2 separate regions of the Mus musculus genome follow, and region 2 is reported to be linked to region 1. Evidence: microRNA targets listed by miRTarBase, many of them from high-throughput screens and not tested one by one. Region 1 holds a microRNA gene; the other region holds the end of a gene's coding sequence.

Region 1 (4,065 bases):
GTAATAATTGTACAATTCTGGTCACTCACAATCAAACCCAGGCCTGTGGAATCCTTACCTGGCAGCTCAGGGATCCATCAGTCAGCTTCTTGCATTTCTTTTAAAAAAAGCAACATATTATGGAAAACTTTAGCTCTGTAGATAGTGTCAGCTTAAACCTGATTTTAGCAGCTCTTCCTTATTAATTTTACTTTTCTTTAGGTTTCACTCCAATGATTTTTATTCATAGCCTGAAACCAACTGTGCTGCCCAAATGTAGAACTATATATTATATATACTGTTATCCTAAATACTAACTGCAGCTTCTCCAGACCCAGCACTCGAGTGTCATGTGTACCTGTCACTCTACTGACCATCAGTTTGCCATCTTTCCCTTGAGGGGGTCACATGGTAAGAACAGTCCAAGGATAGTTCTTTCTTACAGGGTGTGCACATTAACAGAGTGGCCACCACCTGTTAACTGTTAAGAACTCACGGATTAGGAATAATCTTATCAGAAAACACTCCATCTGAATTGTCACACTTTAATAAACAGAGATCCAAAGAAAGTAACATTTTTCTTAACTCATGTTAATGGGTTTTAGAGTAAAATAAACCTGAAGTCATACCAGGTTCAAAAGGCAGTTTAACTTCACCTAAGCCCCCACACACAACTTCTTACTAAATCCAGCGAGCAAACACGAAAATGAAATGATTCAGTAAAAACAAACCACAATTTAAAAACACAAATTTCAATTAAAAAAATCCCGTTTTACACACCAACGAAAGCAATAGAAATCACAGTTTACAGAATGTGTTCATACACTCCATCAGCTCGTGAACATTTTTACAGTGGAAATCGGCATCTTCAGCAATATTGTCATTTTCACATCTTCTGGTCACAATCCCCACCAAACTCAACAGGCCGGGACAAGTGCAATACCATACAGAGAAACACAGCATTGCGACAAATCCCAACCTGTGTAGAAAGGGGTTTGATTTTCCCTTACTTCTCTACAGACTTTTCACCACCACAGTCAGTTTTGCATGGATTTGCACAGCAGAATATTATACAGCTGGATGCAAACCTGCAAAACTAACCATAGACCAGTGCTCAATAACAGGACAGTTGGCTGGGCGATGGCCAGGCGAGGCTGGAGTTCTACAGCTGGCAGTACTTTAAGTGCTCGTAATGCAGTAGATGGCTACACACTACCTGCACTATAAGCACTTTAGTGCTACAGAAGCTGTCACATCACACACACCACGCAGGCTCTACATCGACACAATAAAAATACAAAATTAGTTTAAAAAAAAACAACACTTGAAGTAAATAGCAGGCCACCATCAGTTTTGCATAGATTTGCACAACTACATTCTTCTTGTAGTGCAACTATGCAAAACTAACAGAGGGCTGCAAACACAACTATGGAGAGACCCCTACATGCTTGCTTGACTTGGATTGGATGAGGACATAACTTCTTATGCCAGAAGGAGCACTTAGGGCAGTAGATGCTAGTCTACTTCACTATCTGCACTAGATGCACCTTAGAACAAAAAGCACGCAGCACCAGCAGGCCCTCCCCGCGACCGACTGACCGACGACTGGACGCAGCCAGTGCCGCCCGAGGCAGCGCCCACTGTGGCTCCCACCGAGGCAGCTGTCAGCATAATGCTACAAGTGCCCTCACTGCAGTAGATGCACACATCACTACCTGCACTGTAAGCACTTTGACATTATTCTGACTGGTCACAGCTTCAGTCCCAAGGTGAGGTTCACTTTATTCCTGCTAAATTTGAAATAAATAATTAGACAAAAAGGAAAAAGCCAAAGCTCTAAATTCTGTCACAAACATCAATTACAGCTTATACCCAAGGGGGGGAGGGGAGGAGCCAATAGCCAGAAGTTCCAAATTGGACACATGTAAGCCTTAAAAAAAAAAAAAAAACTCCTTAAAGAAATATAAGATACAATCCCATTAAAATGTTGGCTTTTACAGTAGGCTTCCCCAAAAAACACACAATAAGGGTCCTACAAAATGAGACCTGTTATCAGGAAGGCAGTCTGACTTGGTACTACCTTTAGAGGAAAGCCTCACATTGACCAGGCAGCAATCCCTTTCTTCTGTCCTCCACATTGTCAGATACTCGACAAGATTAATGATTATTGTTTAGTCATTTTCAAGTTTATTAGTCATAAAACATAAAAAAGTCTTAGTATCACCCCAAATTAGAAATACTCTATGACTCCAACTTGAAGGGTCTACAACTATTTGGTTAGTGTCCAAAAGCCACTGTAGATTTACTACGTTAAAATGTGGCTCACTCATTTATGACAAGAGTTCAAACTGTATTTATTTCATACCTTAAAAGACCAAGAATGTTGTACAAGCTCAAAGACAAAAGTGAAAACCAAAGGTCTCAAAAGAAGTTTTAGCTACAAAACTAGAATATACTCACCCACTCAGGCAAACTTCCTTCTCAGCAAGTATCCTTGGGCAATGCTTCGGGTGCTGCTAGGTCCACGTGTATGACTAGGGTTGGGGGTGGGGTGAAGACAGAGAAAGGGTAAGCACATTTGCTCAAAATTACTACCACTTTCCGAGCCCCATTCCAAGTTGCTCTTCTCTTAATCTTCCTAAGGGGCAATTCTATCCATTTGCCAAAAAAAAAAAAAAAAAAAAAAAAAAAGAGAGAGCCAGGACCACAAGGTCCTGAGGGCAACAATGTATTGGGTGGAAAACGCTGTAACAAAATAAAGTTGAAAACCCACCAAGATTCACATCCGTGCACGAATTAATGTGCCCCTGAAATACTGCAAGATGAGTAGCAGCAAGCCTGAACTCTACTGTCCAGCTCAAGCTAGAGAAAAAGGGCAACCAGGACTAGTCTTCACCACCCCTCCCCCAATCAGGACCTCGTGGCTGCACGCCGGGATAAAGAGTTGTTTCCCCAACTGCTGTGATCCTCGTGGCACGTTGCTCATTTTCTTCCCTCTGGTCACCTAAGAACCACGAGCCCTGCTGCGCTCTCCAGTTTTCTCCCCTCCGCGCCAGCTTATCAAGAGAAAACCGGACGGGAACACGGGATCCTGCCAAGTACCCGCCACGCTCATGGAGCCCGGGCCGGCAGCACATGTCGCACAAGGGGGCAGGCGGCCCTTGTGGGTTCCCCGCGCGGCCGCCAGGGGGCGGCAGGTCAGAGCCGGGCCGCGCTGCGCCGGACGCGGAGACTCCCCCCCCCCCCCAACCCCCGCCCGTTTCTGGGCGGCTGCGCGGCGAGCGGCGGCGCGGAGGCCCGAGCGTGGCGAGGCTCCGGACACGCCGGCCGTCCTTTGTGTCCCGCGCGCCCCCCGGCCAGGCTCCGGGGGAGGGAGGGGGGCGGACAGGGCGCTCGCCGCACGCGGCCCGAGGCCTAAGCCGGGAACAATCGGCGGCGGCGCGCAGTCGCCGCCATGTCCCCCCCCCCCCCGCCCTCGGCGCGCGCAGCCCGCCCCGCAGGAACATGGCGGCGGGGCCGCCGCTCCTGCCGAACCCGCCCGGCCCTCCCGCGCCGCGCTCGCAGCCAGCGCCCGTCCGGGGCTCCGCGCCGCCCCGAGGGCGGGCCGGGGCGTCCCGGGCCGCCCGGGCGGACCGCAGGGGTCGCCTCGCCCGCGAGGGGAGCTGCCCACGCGGCCGCACACAAAGCCCACGCGGAGCGCGGGGTGGCGCCCCGGCCCCGTCGCCCCGCAGCTCCCGCGTCCCGGAGCCCGGCCCGGCGCGCACAAAGTTTCGGGGACGCCGAGTGCCGCCCGCCCACGCCGCCCGCGCGCAGGTTCCTCGTGGGCGCGCCCCCTCCCGGCCCGCGGCCTGCCCCATGTGCCGCCGCCGCTTTGTTCTGGAGGCGCTTTAACTCTCGCCCCCGGGAGAAACTTTCCCCGCACGGCGGCCGCGCGCCCCGCCCGGCTCCCGCCGCTCCCGGGACGGCCGCCGGCCTCGTGCGAAGCCTCCCGAGGGCCATTGTGTGCGCCGGGCGGGCCTCTCCGGGGCCCGGGCCGCCGCCCCCTCGGGCCCCCTCCGGCCCGCGTGCGCGCCAGGACGGCCGCCC
Region 2 (4,065 bases), not on the chromosome of region 1:
GAAGGTCGAAGGACAGCGTTCTGCTGTGGGTTCTCTCTCTCCCACCTTGGTGTGTGCTTTGGGGTTGTGAGCCACCATGTTGCTGGGAATTGAACTCAGGACCTCTGGAAGAGCAGTCACTGCTCTTAACCACTGAGCTATCTCTCCAGCCCTCTTGAGTTAATTTTTTTGTTTTTGTTTCTGTTTTGTTTTGTTTTGTTTTTACCAGCTGAAATACCTCTCTGAATATTGGGTTTTGTTTTTAAATTTTATTTCTCAGGGCTAGAGGGATGGCTCAGTGGTTAAGAGCACTGGATATTTTTTTTTTCTAGAGGACATAGGTTCAATTCCAGCACCCCCACAGCAGCTCACAACTGTCTGTAACTCCAGGTCTATGGGATCCCCATCTTTTAAGCCTCAGAGAGCAGATAACACATGCTGGCAAAGTACACAAAACAAAGATTGTTCTTATTGATGTGTTTGCCTGTGTGAATTATGTGTACCATTGTGTATGTGTACCATATGTATGTACCTGTGTGAACCATATCAATACAGAGATCCCTTCAGAGATCAGAAAACCTAGGAGACCCTGGAATTGGGGATTACAGGCAGCTGTGGACTGTGAGGTGACAGGAACCAAATTCAGGTCCTTTGCAAGAGCAGTAAGCACTCCTTCTTCTTCTTCTTCTTCTTCTTCTTCTTCTTCTTCTTCTTCTTCTTCTTCTTCTTCTTCTTCTTCTTCTTCTTCTTCCTCTTCCTCTTCCTCTTCCTCTTCTTCTTCTTCTTCTTCTTCTTCCTCTTCCTCTTCCTCTTCTTCTTCCTCCTCTTCTTCTTCCTCTTCTTCCTCCTCTTCTTCCTCCTCTTCTTCCTCCTCTTCTTCCTCCTCTTCTTCCTCCTCTTCTTCCTCCTCTTCTTCTTCCTCTTCTTCTTCCTCTTCTTCTTCTTCTTCTTCCTCTTCCTCTTCCTCCTCCTCCTCCTCCTCCTCCTCCTCTTCCTCCTCCTCCTCCTCCTCTTCTTCTTCTTCTTCTTTTTTGGTTTTCTGAGACAGGGTTTCTCTGTGTAGCCCTGGCTGTCCTGGAACTCACTCTGTAGACCAGGCTGGCCTCTCAAACTCAGAAATCCACCTGCCTCTGCCTCCCAAGTGCTGAGACTAAAGGCGCGCGCCACCACGCCCAGCTAGGAGTAAGCACTCTTAATCAGAGATATTTGTCCAACTGTTGGCTTTCTTTTTCAAGATAAGGCCTTATAACTCATGTGCCTCTGCGCCTTTGCTCCCTGACTGTAGGATTTACCTACTGGTGCGTGTGCTGCCACACCTGGTGTCCACTGAGAATGGGAACACTGCACACCTGCAAGTAGTCAGTACAGGTTGGTGGCCCTAGGAGGAGGGTGCCCCCAGGATTCCTGCAAGATGGGGCTCTTAGGAGCTCGGGGTAGCCAGACGGGTACAGAGACTGCTGTGTGTCGGATGGCCTGGCAGGAGGAGAGCAAGGAGCACAGATGCTCACACACCGAGGCTGGGGTCCTACAGATGGGTTCCACCATCGGAGCCAACATGGCAACCAAGTCCCTTCCTTCCGGTTCTAAAGTTCCTTGTGTTTCTCATCGGGTTTCAACAGGAAGAGGCAGAGGATGGCAAGTATGGCTTCATCACTGACCCAGTATGCAAGAACAGAGTGGGCGTGGAGGTGACTAACTGTAGACTATGGTGCGCTTGCAAAAGTCCTTTCAGAACTCTATATGCCAATGTGTCCAGACCGTATTTGGTGCAGGAGCTCAGTATCTTAAAGCACATTCTTTGCATGACACGATCCCTAACATCCATCTCCACAGCTTTTTACCTTCTCCATTCCACCCATTCCACCCTGGCTCTCAGCCCCTCCCCCTCCCCCAACATCCTCCTCACCCATCACACCTTGGCTCTTAGCCCCGCCCTCTTCACAGAGCCAATAATCATGGGCCCGTCTATGAATGTCAGGACTCTACCTCAGAGTGGAATTATACAGTAGTCATTCTGTAATTGGCTCATTTTATTTAGGGCGATGATGTTAGGGTTTTTTACACGCTACCATTGCACAACAGCGTACTGTGGACCGACTTTGGCTTAGAAAATATATTTTCGGGGGTTACGAACTGACAAGGTCTTGCTGTGCAGCTATGGTTGCTGTGGGATGCGCTAGCTGTGGGATGCGCTAGGTAGACCATGCTGGCTGAGATCTTGTGGTCTTTCTGCCGCTGCCTCCTGAACAGTACCCACTGTTTTTGAATCAGTGTGCTTCCCCACTGTTCCACTGAATGCCACCTGGGTTTATTAACTCTTGACTACTGTGAAAACTGATGCTGTGGGCACTGCTGGAAGAGTTTGTCCAGTACCCGATCTGCTTCCTGAGTGCACATAGACTTAGAAACCAAGTTGCTGGATTGTATGAGAGATCCATGCGGAACCTTCTAAAGCTGCCAGAGTGTTTCCCACAGAACACAGCATGCTTTTCTTACCGAAAAAAACACTCAAAAGATTAAGATGCGGAGCTCGTGAAAAAGACTGGCACATGTAATCTATAACTGCACAAACACACGGCAAATTCAACTGTCATTCATAAATACAAAATTTTATTTGCACTTCATTAGTGTAGAAAGACCATGATGCTTCTCATAGCACAACACTCAGGACACGCCAAGTTATTCAAATACATACTTATTTACCTTGACTAAACAAAACAGTGCAGCTTAATAAAAGATATACCAAAGATAGAGTTCACAAATTCCTTATCAGACCAGGAAAAAAAAAAACCCTCAAGGGGGGGTGGGGACCAAGAAAACTTAAAGAACACAGTCTAGGCTTAATAGGAATAAGCCTCACCATCAAGGGGAGAAGTTTGTCATTACAAAGATACAGGATGTTTAGGCAAATGCATGTGTATTCTTTGATATACTAAAAGGTAACTCTTAAAATCCCTTTAAACAGGATTTGTGTAGGACAGCAGTGTGATTTTAAAATCTTTTCTATAGTTTCAAAAACGCTTCTTTTTCTTTCTTTCCTTGCGATGACGGGGATTGAAGCCAGAGCCTCACGTACGCTGGACAGATGCTCAAATGCTGAGCTGCAATCCCAGCCCTTCCGTTCTTTCTCTATTGAACCTTTTCATTCTTAAAAGCAGGTCACAGCCAACGGGAAACACCCAGGGTTCTGCAGCCTCGGGACTAAGTCCAGTCCCCTATCCAGGAACCCTCTCACTACATGGCCCATGTGTGCTCTCACTGTGGCCGTGAGGGAGCTCTGCTTTGGTGCAGAGACACTCCAAACCTTGAGGTGCCGTGTGGGGAAAGCCCATAAATAAAGAAAAGGTGGCTGTCATGTCTTCCTTTTCAAAAAACTTCAGTTTTGTAGATTTTCGTTGAAACAGCAAGCGAAGCACCAGGTCCTCTCTTCTCATCGGAGCGTCTGCCTTGTAGTGTAATTAACAAGGACATTTATAGTACTCAGGAAATATTACATCTTTCTTCTCTCCCAGTCTTCGTATTAGAAGTACTACGCCTCCCAGTGTGCGTACACTAGACACTGGGGTAATGAGGAAATATAATTTGAAGGGAAGTGTGTAACTTATATAACCCGACCTTACCCAGGATTGCATATTTGCATATTTACAAGTTAGTGTATAGCTGACTTGGGTTACAAAGTGCGAAAGGAAATTGTCACGTGATTGTAGTGCAGAACAGAACGTTTCCCCCTTCTAGGAATCGCTTGCACCATCTCCAAAGTATCAAATCAACAGCATCGGACGTGTGGTCTGGGAGGAGGCAGCTCTGGTGGGATCTCAGGCTCTGGTTGTAGAGAAAGGATGCTATTGGATAACTCGTTTCTCAAAACATCAAGAGGCATCTGGAGGACAAGAAGAGAGCACAGACACACTTCAGTCCTGCAAACGGCAGGATTGTATTAAACTGTAAACCTTTCATTCCGTGTGCACGGGTGTGTTGCCTTTGTGCCACAGGCCCGTTACCCAAGGAAGCCAGGATAGGGTGTTGGATCTCTGGGAGCTGAAGTTACAGACGGTTGTGAAATGCTGGGTGGGTGCTGGGAATCGA

The links. Region 1 holds the annotated microRNA mmu-miR-17-5p (CAAAGUGCUUACAGUGCAGGUAG, at 1,691-1,713, opposite strand). A microRNA usually pairs through its seed, bases 2 to 8, with sites in the 3' UTR of a target mRNA and lowers its output. Matches are read on the target gene's strand: a 7mer-m8 pairs with bases 2 to 8, a 7mer-A1 pairs with bases 2 to 7 and ends in A, and an 8mer does both.
Region 2: the mRNA of Rab12 is a reported target of mmu-miR-17-5p. Seed matches in the 3' UTR shown: 7mer-m8 at 3,654-3,660.

The regions. Positions count from the first base shown.
Region 1 is chr14:115,041,332-115,045,396 of GRCm38, reverse strand. Mir17 (microRNA 17) reads right to left here and starts at 1,726; the gene lies at 1,643-1,726. It overlaps Mir18 (microRNA 18), which reads right to left and starts at 1,546; the gene lies at 1,451-1,546. Mir19a (microRNA 19a) reads right to left here and starts at 1,397; the gene lies at 1,316-1,397. Mir20a (microRNA 20a) reads right to left here and starts at 1,240; the gene lies at 1,134-1,240. It also overlaps Mir19b-1, Mir17hg and Mir92-1.
Region 2 is chr17:66,491,945-66,496,009 of GRCm38, forward strand. Rab12 (RAB12, member RAS oncogene family) reads right to left here. Exons shown (of 6, transcript NM_024448.2): 6 at 2,568-3,859. The coding sequence ends at 3,746. Among named protein-coding and RNA genes, the nearest start is that of Gm41608, 12 kb to the right of the region's middle.